Sus scrofa: one gene and its partners. The main gene of each other region encodes a partner of the protein of the gene in region 2 in a complex. Links are inferred from orthologs where the notes say so. Each region holds a gene or a part of one and is shown on either strand. Other genes may lie near its edges.

Evidence for each region.
Region 1: ARPC2 (region 2) and ARPC1B share a complex: the UniProt entries of both Homo sapiens proteins name them as parts of the arp2/3 complex. The link is inferred for Sus scrofa from reciprocal best matches to the Homo sapiens genes ARPC2 and ARPC1B.
Region 3: ARPC2 (region 2) and ARPC5 share a complex: the UniProt entries of both Homo sapiens proteins name them as parts of the arp2/3 complex. The link is inferred for Sus scrofa from reciprocal best matches to the Homo sapiens genes ARPC2 and ARPC5.

What each region holds. Positions count from the first base shown.
Region 1 is NC_010445.4:6,335,028-6,338,777, reverse strand, and holds the start of ARPC1B (actin-related protein 2/3 complex subunit 1B), read right to left. Parts: upstream 2,280-3,750; coding exon 2,216-2,279; intron 1,543-2,215; coding exon 1,438-1,542; intron 1,022-1,437; coding exon 799-1,021; intron 23-798; coding exon 1-22. UniProt on the Homo sapiens protein: Component of the Arp2/3 complex, a multiprotein complex that mediates actin polymerization upon stimulation by nucleation-promoting factor (NPF).
Region 2 is NC_010457.5:120,313,990-120,317,639, reverse strand, and holds part of ARPC2 (actin-related protein 2/3 complex subunit 2), read right to left. Parts: intron 1,975-3,650; coding exon 1,788-1,974; intron 784-1,787; coding exon 690-783; intron 1-689. UniProt on the Homo sapiens protein: Actin-binding component of the Arp2/3 complex, a multiprotein complex that mediates actin polymerization upon stimulation by nucleation-promoting factor (NPF).
Region 3 is NC_010451.4:124,841,646-124,844,967, forward strand, and holds part of ARPC5 (actin-related protein 2/3 complex subunit 5), read right to left. Parts: intron 727-3,322; coding exon 550-726; intron 1-549. UniProt on the Homo sapiens protein: Component of the Arp2/3 complex, a multiprotein complex that mediates actin polymerization upon stimulation by nucleation-promoting factor (NPF).

The DNA of each region.
Region 1 (3,750 bases), on a different chromosome or scaffold from region 2:
CTTGATGTGCTTGCACACCCACCTGGACAGGGCAGCCGAACAGGGAGCAGGGGAGAGGCTCAGACGGGGCACCTGCCCACCTCGCTGCCCCAGAGGCTCGGGCTCCCACGGGGCCCTGCAGGCTGCATAGGAGTCCCAGGAGGGCAGGGCCAGGCTCTGGCAGCTCAGGCGGGTGATGGGCGGGCTCTCACCCAGGGTGGGAACTTCAGCCCTGGTCTCCTTTAAGCCCTGCAACAACTCTGGGGCAGGCTCAGTAAGGAGAAGTCACGTGGCTGCTAACTGGCCAGGGTGGGATTTGAACTTGGGTCTCCAGGGCTCCAGCCTGACCTCCTGCCTGGCCTCTGCTCTCAGGGACCCAGGGGAGAAGATCATGGCGTGACTGGGAGCCTGTGAGTGGGCCCTGGAGCGGGACAGGCTGGGCGTCTTGGGCAAGTGATTTGCCCCAGAGCCTTTGCTCACCTGTAAAGTGGGGACGGCAACAGACGCCGGTCCAGGGGGCTGCTGGGGGCGGGGCGTCAATGCCAAAATGTGTGCAGAGTTAGTGCCACCCTGCAGAGGCAGCCCTGGTGTGGCCTGTGCCCTTATGACTGAGACGGGGCAGTGGGAGGGCCAGTGGCTGTGCGGGGAGCCCCTCGCCTCACCTACGAGGTCTGGAGGGGACACCCTTCCCCAGGGACATATGAACAGGGGTCTGGATACCCCGGCCAGTGCTTTTTGGGACCCTCCTGTCGCACCACCTCTTGATCTGCAGCCCCAGGTACCCCCCTCAGACCACTCTGGCCCTGCCCGGGCACCCACCAGTCATTTTCCTGCTCAAAATAGCAGATGGAGATGACACGGGAGCCACTGCCCACAGCAAACTTGTTCTCCTGGGGGGCCCAGCGCACACAGCGAGCAGCACGGTTGATGCGCAGGATGACAAGGGTAGGCTTCCACGTGCGGCCCTTCAGCGTCCACACGTAGGCGTTGCGGTCTGTGCCGCAAGTCACGATGCGGTTACTCTCAGGGGCCCAGTCAATGCCTATAGGGTGGAGAGGAGGCACTAGACTGAAGCCATCCAAGCAGATGTGGTTCTAACAGTGTCCACCCAGGAGGGGCTTAGAGGCCATAATAAGGATGGACATTGCTCTGGGGGTGCTACAGCTCTCCCAACTATCACAAAACATGCAGGAAGACCAAGCCAAGAGGCAGAAATGGGTCCTTAGTAATGCTGAGCTGCTGGATCAAGCGTTTCCTGAAGCCTGAATAACATCTGAGTTTTTCAGTAACATAAACCAATGCAATCCCTTTATAACTTCAGCCAGTTTGAATCAGGGTTTGTGCTACTTTTGACCCAAACTATCCAACCTAATACAGTGGGCAGGCCCTGTCCGGTCCAGCCCTGCCCCATCCCTCCTGCCTCCTTTCAAGAGAGCGACCCTAGCCAGCGCAACCTACCTGTCACCTGCCCATTGTGCTCCTTGAGCTCGTGCACCTGGACCCACTTGTTCCCACTCTTCTCGTAGATGTGCACCTCGTGGTTGTTGGGGCAGATGGCAATCTCTGCGGGAGAGACGGGCGGGTGCAGGGAGTGAGAGGAAGCGTGCATGCCTGGCTCTCACCCCCCATGAGGAATACCCTGGACAGGCCACCAGATCAGTTACCTTGTCCTTTGCAACTCTCTGCCTGGGAGGAGCCCCCCGAAGCCCCTCAGGTCCTGCTGGGCCCCCCCTTGTGACACCTCCGCAGGGGCTGACAACCCCTTACCCACACCCGCCACCCCCGATGCCCCAGGCAGTCTTGCCACTTCCGGGAGCTTGCACCTGCTTCCCAGCTCCAGCCACAGCCCTGCTGGCTCTGCCGCTTCGGGGCCTCTCACCTGCTGTGGCCTCAGCAGGCTGGCCCCTTCACCTCCTGTAAGCCTCTGTGCAAATGTCACCTTCCCCTGAAAGGCCCTCCCTGGTCATTTTTTCTAAACCAGCACCTCTGCTCCACCACTTGGCCCTCACCCTGCAGGTCTCTTTAGAGCTGACCTCACTGCAGGTCACATTTCCCTCCCCAGCCTGAGAGCAGAGGGCCTGGCCCCTGGAGGGGCGCCCAGCACAGGTGAGGCTGGGCTCTTGCCTCCACCTTCCATGGCCACTAGTCTTGCTGCCCTGCTTGGGTCTCCCCTCCCAAAAGCTCAGGGTCGGAGGTGAAGCCTCTCCCATCATCTCGGGGAGGGCGGGGCACTCACGGGTGCGGTCCTTGTTCCAGGCGTGGCAGCTGATGGGCTCCACCAGGAAGCTGTGATAGGCCATGGCTGCTCGGCTCCTGTGCCCAAGGCAGGGAAGAAAGCCAAGTCAGCCAGGCCCTGCCCCGGCCCCTGCCTTGCACCCTCCTTCCCTCCTGGGGCCTCAGTGTCCCTCCGTAGCTCTCACAGGCTGTCTCTGAGGCGCCAGGGGACAAAGACAAAGGATGGATGAGGACTGGAGGGCACGGGGCAGTGGGTGAAGCCACGACCGTGAGTGGGGCGTGCTGGGACGCTCCCCCACATCATCACTCATCTGTGCCTCAGATTCCTCATGGGTGGACCCCCCTCTGCCCCCCCCAGGATGAAATTCAACAATCCCAGAAACGGAGAGTGGTGCCCCGCCCCCAGCTCAGCACCCCACCCCCGCCTCCCCCCACCCCCGGGCGGGTCCTGGTTAGCCTCCCTTCACCCTCACCCCCAGCCAGCTCTGCCCACCTATGCCCCCATGCCAAGATGGGCCACCTCTCCCAGCAACTGTCCTTTCAGGCCCCCCCGCCTCCCGAGAGGGTGTGACTCCTCCCTGACTCAGCCTGTCCTGCTGAGGGGAAGCCACATGGCGCCCAGGTGAGTGTCCCCAGGACCCTGGCTGCCTCTGCCATCAGATGCCCTGCCCCCCCCCCAGGGCTGCTGGGGGCCCCCTGCTATTGGATCTTCGTGCTGAACCCACACCCTGAGGCCAGTCTCTGTGTCTGGAGCGCACCAGGCCTCCTGGCCTTTGCACACGCTGTTCCCTCTGCAAGGAAGGCCACGCCCGATGTGCCTCCGAGGCCAGCTCTCCCTGCATTTCACTCCAGCGGGCTAGTCCCTCTGGGCTGCAGGTGCCTGCCTGTTCTATTTGGCCAAGTCCTGCTCATCCATAAAGAGCCAAAGTCAGCATCACTTCCTCAGCCCCCCAGAGTTGCAGGGACCCGGGGTGGGGGCTGGGGAGTGAGTCAAGGGGAGCCCAGCAGCACTGCTTGCCTGCTGTGTGACCCTGGGCACATCACACACCCTCTCTGAATCTCGATTTCCACATCTACAAGACGGGAATGGGAACCTTAGCCCCCAGAGGTGTGAGGCTGAAGTAAGATGACACACCATGCCTGGCACACAGTAGGTGTTCATGACACGGCAGCTCTTAGTCCATAACGGACGCGACGGCACCCATCTTGCTTCACCTGTTTAGGGGTGGGCCTCCCAGCCAGACCAGAGCCTCAGGCCTTCTCACTGGCTGTTCCCTCAGCCTTCAAAGCTCTTCCCCGCGCTGCCCGCAGGCGAATGGCTGCTGCCATTCAAGTCTTGCCCAAGGCCACCGCCTGCCCCACCCCCACACACCCAATTTAGTTTTCTGCACAGATAATGAATTCTCGAACATACGTTACCCTGTCCTCATTTATTCGGCCCGTTGCTTCCCCCACTGCTGGACTCTAACAAGCTTGATGGAGACACATTTTTCTCTAACTTGTTCACATTTCTGTCCCCAGTGCCTAAATGCCTAG
Region 2 (3,650 bases):
CTAGATTTGAATGCTGAGCCATCTCAAAAGAAACCAGCCAGGATACCACTTCACCAATGAGGTCTCATGTCCAAAAGCCAACAACTGGTTAGCAGACAGCACAACAAAGTAACAGTGGTGCATTATCTCTGACTTGAGCCCAAGGGCACCAGAAATCTAATTACAAAATGTCCTGCTAAACGCCATTACTCTCCTTCGTGGATGAGCTTCTTCAGAGGGAGATACTCCACGGTGACCTCGGTCAAACTCAGGCCCATTCTCTTCACTTTTAGGTCAACAACTCTACCCTACTAATGTGTTACCTAGTACTTAAGAATGTTCTCTAGACTCCATTTCGAAAAGACTTTAGGACTAAACCAAGACAAGAACAGACCTTGCTAGAAACTTGAAGAGGGTAGAAAGTGTGGCCAAACTTTAAATCAAAGACCTCATGGCAAAAAGGATGCTTAATATTTTGTCACTTTGTTAGTATGTTTAATATTCAATTCGTCCTCTAGTCCAGTCTTGCAAAAGGCTAAAGCCACTAAGAAGAAAAAAAATCAGTGAATTTGATGGGAACTGTTTAATGAAGTCTTGAATAAGTTTCAGCATCATTAGAGCTGCCAGTTCTTTTCTATGCTTATGGTATGCTTTGGTGCCAAGGTACAGGTCATCAGCCATGGTTCCCCCCCAAGATGTCTGCTCCATACCTGCATGAACACCTTTCCAATGACCACATCGTCGTCATCCTTAAACACTGTGCTGAAGACTACTGTGACTCTGTCCTTTTTAGACTCAACATACCTGAGGGGAACAAAACCCATGAGTTAAGTACAGAATCAGAACAAGGTTTTGTCAAGCTTGACCTACAACCGAAGCCAGAGAGTAAAGTTATAAATGTCTAAATTCATAAAATAAGATGTACCAGTGACACTAAGTATTTAAGGCTGGTAAGTCAGTATAATAAATGCATGCCCAAGGAGAAGCAGATGAAAATCACCCAAAGTCAATGTTATGATTAACTAGTCTATACAGTATGACATGAAATCTTGAATTAATAATTCTCAGAATTCTACTTTATTTATTTACTTTTTGCTTTTTAGGGCCATAACCGAGGCATATGGAAGTTCCCAGGCTAGGGTCGAATCGGATCTACAGCTGCTGGTCCAAGCCACAGCCACAACTAAGAATCTGAACTGTGCCTGTGACCTACCCACAGTTCAAGGCGACGCCGGATCCTTAACCCACTGAGCAAGGCCAGGGATCGAACCCATATCCTCATGGATACTAGTTGGGCTCTAGACCCGCTGAGTCACAATGGGAACTCCAAAAGCTCAGTTTTACTTATTTGGCTGCGCCTGTGGCATACACAAGTTCCTAAACTAGGGGTCGAACCCACACCACAGAAGTGACAATGCTAGATCCCCAACCTGCAGAGCCACGAGGGAATTCCAAAATGTATTCCTTTATATACTATGAGATTTACAGTATGTAGATAACCTAAGAGCTGCAACAACACAGTCACCCTCTGCTTGCTGACTATCTGCTGTATTACTGGAGGGACTCAAAATGGTGTACCTTTAAGGACAGCAGTGGATTCCCTTTTCATCTTTTGCCAACTTTTCAGTATCTGGAACTTTAGGAGAAGTGGCCTTTTCATGCCCCGCTACCTCTTACATCTTGGCTTAAAGAATTTTATGGAAAGATACATGGGAGGATTCACACAATAGAGTTTAAGGTCTGACTTAGCTGAATCTTTCGGCATGTGACAGCCACACCCAGGCTTCAGGACCAAATTCTATACTCACATGGTCTCATCATCCCTATAATGGATAACTGCTCTGTTCTCTCCTTCCTTGCCCTCTTCTTGGAATTGGAAGTATTTCTCGAAGACAGAGGCAAAACAGTTTCGTTTCAACATGCCAGCCTGATGCACGATGGAATCCTTGGACGCAGGAAGATTTTCAAGGTCGTAGAGCAAAGAGACATTATAGCCTGGGAGGGAAAAAAACCTTTTAGGCTCTATAAACATTTTACTTTGTCTCAGTGTCTGTACTTTTTTTTTCCTGCACCTATGGTATGTGGAAGTTACTGGGCCAGGGACTGAACTCACGCCATAGCAGCGACCGAAGCTGCTGAAGTGACAACACTGGATTCTTAACCTGCTGTGCCATAAAGGAACTTTTCAGTGTCTGTACTTTAACCCAGGTAGAATGCCTTCCATTCCTATCTACCTCACAGTGCAAAGGGGGTGAAATAAAACCTTAATTCTTGTAAAATTACTACACACATGCACACAGAAATAAACTAACGAATGCTATGCAAAAATGTGAATCAATATTAAAGATGACCAATTACAAATATGGAATGGGAGGAACTTATAATCAGGGAACTCTGATTAGAAATTTAGTATTTCAGGCACAGTTGATAGCTTGAATACTCTATCAAGCTAGATGTGAGTTACATATTTTTCTCTGATAGTTGAACATGCCAAGTGCCAACAAGGTCAGCAGCTGGGCTGCTTTTTTGATAATAAAACATACCCATTTACATGCCATTACAAACCCTGAGGATGGAGGCAAGTCCTGGGAAAAAAACATGTACATATTCCTCCCCAATGGCTTTTGTGTACACTGTAAAAGTCTCAAAGTGTTTTAAAATATTGTATTTCCTTTGATCTCCATTAAGAATTCTTTGAAGTTGGCATGCCAGATATAGTTATTCTCATTTTAGAGGGAAAATGAGGTTCAAAGAAGCAAAATGCAGCATGATATGGAGGTAGAGGCAACACTCTTTGGAGCTGAATGAAACTTGGTTCAAACCCTGGCCTTGCCACTTGTGACCATGGACAAACTGCCTAACCTCTAGTTGGAGAAGGCTATTGGGAGAAGTATAAGAATGTACAGTATTTAAAGTGCCTGGAGGACCTCCTGTTGTGGTACAGCGGAATCGAATCTATTACCATGATGATGTGGGTTTGATTCCTGGCCTCGCTCAGTGGACTGGGGATCTGGCCTTGCTGTGAGCTGTGGCAGGTCACAGGTTTGATTCAAATCCTGCATTGCTGTGGCTGTGGTGTAGGCTGGCAGCTGTAGCTCTAATTCAACCCCTAGCCTGGGAACTTCCATATGCCCTGAGCGCGGCCCTAAAAAGCAAAAAGCCAAAAAAAAAAAAAAAAAAAAAAAAAAAAAAGCTTGAACATGGGGGGTCATAATAAACAGGGCAGAACAGGGACTGAAATCCAAGTCAGCTGATGACTACACTATGCTGCCTCTTACTAAGCGCTGAGTACAAATTCCAACAGGGCTGGAGACAATTTATTATAGAACTGAAAAATTATTATCTGTCTAAAAGCCTGCAGATGATTTTGCAAGAATATCTGTGCATCACTGAGGACCATTTCACATTGCACACAACTGATGAGAATAATTTTAGCAGAACCTGCATGGATTTCTCATTTCCTAGTATTTCAGACCTTTACACTTTGTTACTATTTAACTTTTTCCCCAGAGTATTCCTGAGGTCTGAGTTTTTGTTGGGTCTATCCTGAGAACATTGGCTGGCTATCTAAATCTCTGTTGTAGCTCGTGCTTAGTACATTTTTGGCACTCAAACATTAAATAATGTATCACCATTCCATTCTGGGTACCTGAAAACCAGATAAGCAAAGA
Region 3 (3,322 bases), on a different chromosome or scaffold from region 2:
CCGGGTACCCTCCAATCTACTTTCGGTCTCTATGAATTTGCTTATTCTAGATATTTCATATAAGTAGAATCACACAGTACTTATCCTTTTGTGTCTCGTTTATTTCACTCTGCTGATTTTCAAGGTTCATTCATGCTACACTATGCACCAGAATGTCCTTTTTCAGGTTGAATAATATTCCATCATGTGTATGTATCACATTTTGTTTAACTGTTCATCTGTCCATGGGCGCTTTGGTCATTGTTAAGGAATTCTTGATTTTATTGCTTATTTTCTTCTCAATGTTTTGATGTAGTTCAAAGTTCAAGGTTTATCATTTAAGTAAAAGGTTGCGTTTAATAAACAATTATCACTGTTAACAAATCAACATCTCAAGGCCAGTAAGCATGAATCTCAATTTTCATTTTCATGGAATTTCTTCACAATAACAAAGAAGTATAACCCAAAAGTTAAAATAGTTATTTAGGTGAGGGAGGTTGTCAATCTTATTCTCTATTCCAAAGGAAACAGTCATTCAGAAGTCATACAGATCTACAACTCATAACTTACCTTTTCGTGCCACTGTAGTAACATGGCACTGCTATTGTCAGAGGGGCTCTCAAAGCCTTTATAAATATACTTCATTAGCAGATCCACGCCATTCTTGTCCAGGGACTGAACTGCTTTTTCAATATCGTTAGCTTTAAAAGAGATGAGCACCTTCAAGACAATGCTGCCTGCTCGATCCTGAGGGGAATAAATACCAGATCATTTAGACATGCGTGGGGGTAGTTTCAGAAAGGTCACATTGAGAATGTGACGTCTGAGCAAAGACATGAAGGACAAGAAAGGGGAAACCTTGGGTGTCTCTGAGGAAAGTATTTCAAGCACAGGAAGGAGGAACTGCTGTTAATGTGTGGTCAGTATATTCAAGGGTCAAGGAATAGCAAAAAGACCCAAGGTGGCTGCAGCGGAGGAAGAAGGGTAGACAGGACGTCAGAGCCGAGGTGGGAAGAGGACATAAGCCCTGCGGGCCCTTGGGAGGGCTCTGGCTTCCAGTCAGAGAAATGAGATGTTGGAAGATTCTCAAAAGAACAGTGATATAATCTTACATTGTAGCAAGACCATGTTGGCTGCCTTGTAGAGCGTAAGCCTGGGGCCGTGGGGGTTGGGGAGGGCAGGGAGAGCTTCAGATAAGGCAGAAGCAGAAGCAGGGAACCAGTTTGGAAGTTATTGCAAAAGACAGGCTGGTTTTGGCTAGCATGGTAGCAGCAGAGGTGGTCAGAAGTGGACAGATTATTATTATCATTTTTAATGGTATTTTATTTTATTAAAGCTTTTTTTTTCTTTTTTCTTTTTAGGGCCACACTCGCGGCATATGGAGGTTCCTGGGCCAGGGATCAAATCTGAGCTGCAACTGTGACCTACACCACAGCTGCTGCAACACCGGATGCTTAACCCACTGCACGGGGCTGGGGAGCTGAACCTGTGCTGCCACAGAGACAATGCAGGACCATTAACCCACTGCACCACAGCAGGAACTCCTATTTAAGTAAAAAAAAATTTTTTTTTTCTCTGACAGATTCTTGATATATTTGAAGGTAGAGGTGAAAGAAAAGAATTTGCTTACAGATAGACAGATGTGATAATTTACCAACGTATTAAATCAACACACTTTATTTCTTGATCTTTTTCTTTTTTTGCTCTTTAGGGCAGCACCCGAGCCACATGGAGGTTCCCAGGCTGGGGGTCGAATCGGAGCTATAGCTGCCAGCCTACACCACAGCTCACGGCAATGCCGGGTCCTTAACCCACTGAGCGAGGCCAGGGATTGAACCCACAACCTCATGGTTCCTAGTCAGATTGATTTCTGCTGTGCCACAATGGGAACTCCTATTTCTTGATCTTAAAAATAAAAACAAAAAAGGAAACTAAATTGCAATTCTATCTTGAACCATCCTTCAGAAATAAGTTATTAATAAGCAAAAATTTAAGTTTTTAAGAAAACATTTTAAGTTTTGGATTATGACCTTTTTTCTTTGATAAAAGGCAGTTCCAACAGCAAAGTCATTTTTTCACCCATCAAGCCCAGCACAGGGAACCTTAACTTCCCCTTTTTCACAATGTTTCTCCTATTCCACACAAAGTGCTATCTTCAATACTCCCACTGGTCAGGATTTTGCAGTATGTCTCTACCACCTGTTGTTATCGTCAGCTTAAAGACCATGTAATTACTCTATTTAGAAAAACATCCCTGCACCCAGAGCTATGACCTCCCACCCACAAGCTATGATTAAAAAAAAACACCCATATGAAAACAGAAGGTGGTAAAACTAAAATTTCAATGACTTTACATACTTTAAAAAACCCCAATTTTCCCCCGTATAAAAGATTATGTTGTCTAGATAATTATTACGCATTAACCTAAGTTATTACTTACGACTATTCAACTAAGGGGATTCTTGGGGCTTCTAGAATGTATGAATAGCTACCGACAGTGGTGTCAATGCTCTGGGCTTCATTTTATTTTATTTTATTTTATTTATTTATTTATTTTTGTCTTTTTGCCATTTCTTGGGCCGCTCCCACGGCATATGGAGGTTCCCAGGCTAGGGGTCTAATCGGAGCTGAAGCTGCTGGCCTACACCAGGGCCACAGCAATGCTGGATCCGAGCTGCGTCTGCAACCCACACCACAGCTCACGGCAACGCCGGATCGTCAACCCACTGAGCAAGGGCAGGGATTGAACCTGCAACCTCATGGTTCCTAGTCGGATTCGTTAACCACTGCGCCACGACGGGAACTCCCTGGGCTTCATTTTAAACAATAAATAAGTAAATAGGGTCTTAAGAATTACTGAAAGACTGCTACAGGGAATGTTTATACAGCTTTTCTGAAGGGCAATTTGGCAATATCATATATACCAAAGCTTTAAAAAATGTGCAGTCTAAAATCCAGTAATTCACATCTAGAAATTTATTCAAAAAAAAGTTAAGAATTTACGCAAACTGTTGATTTCAGTACTGTTTACAAGAGAAAGGTCAATAATCTAAACATATGACAAAAGGAGATGAGTTATATATAAACTACACTATTATCTATACTCAGCCATTAAAAAGGATATTGTAGAAATAAACTTATTGCCAAGGAAAGAGGTTCATGCACATTGCTGTATGGCTGAAAAAGCAGGTTATAAAATTCCATTTTCATAAAAAAAACATGCATAGGAAAACTCTTTAAGCATAGAGCAACACCAAAAAGTAATAATTATCTATGGGTAGTGGGATTATATATGATTACCTTTTTATTCCTCCCATTTCTGAGTATTCTATAATATTTAATA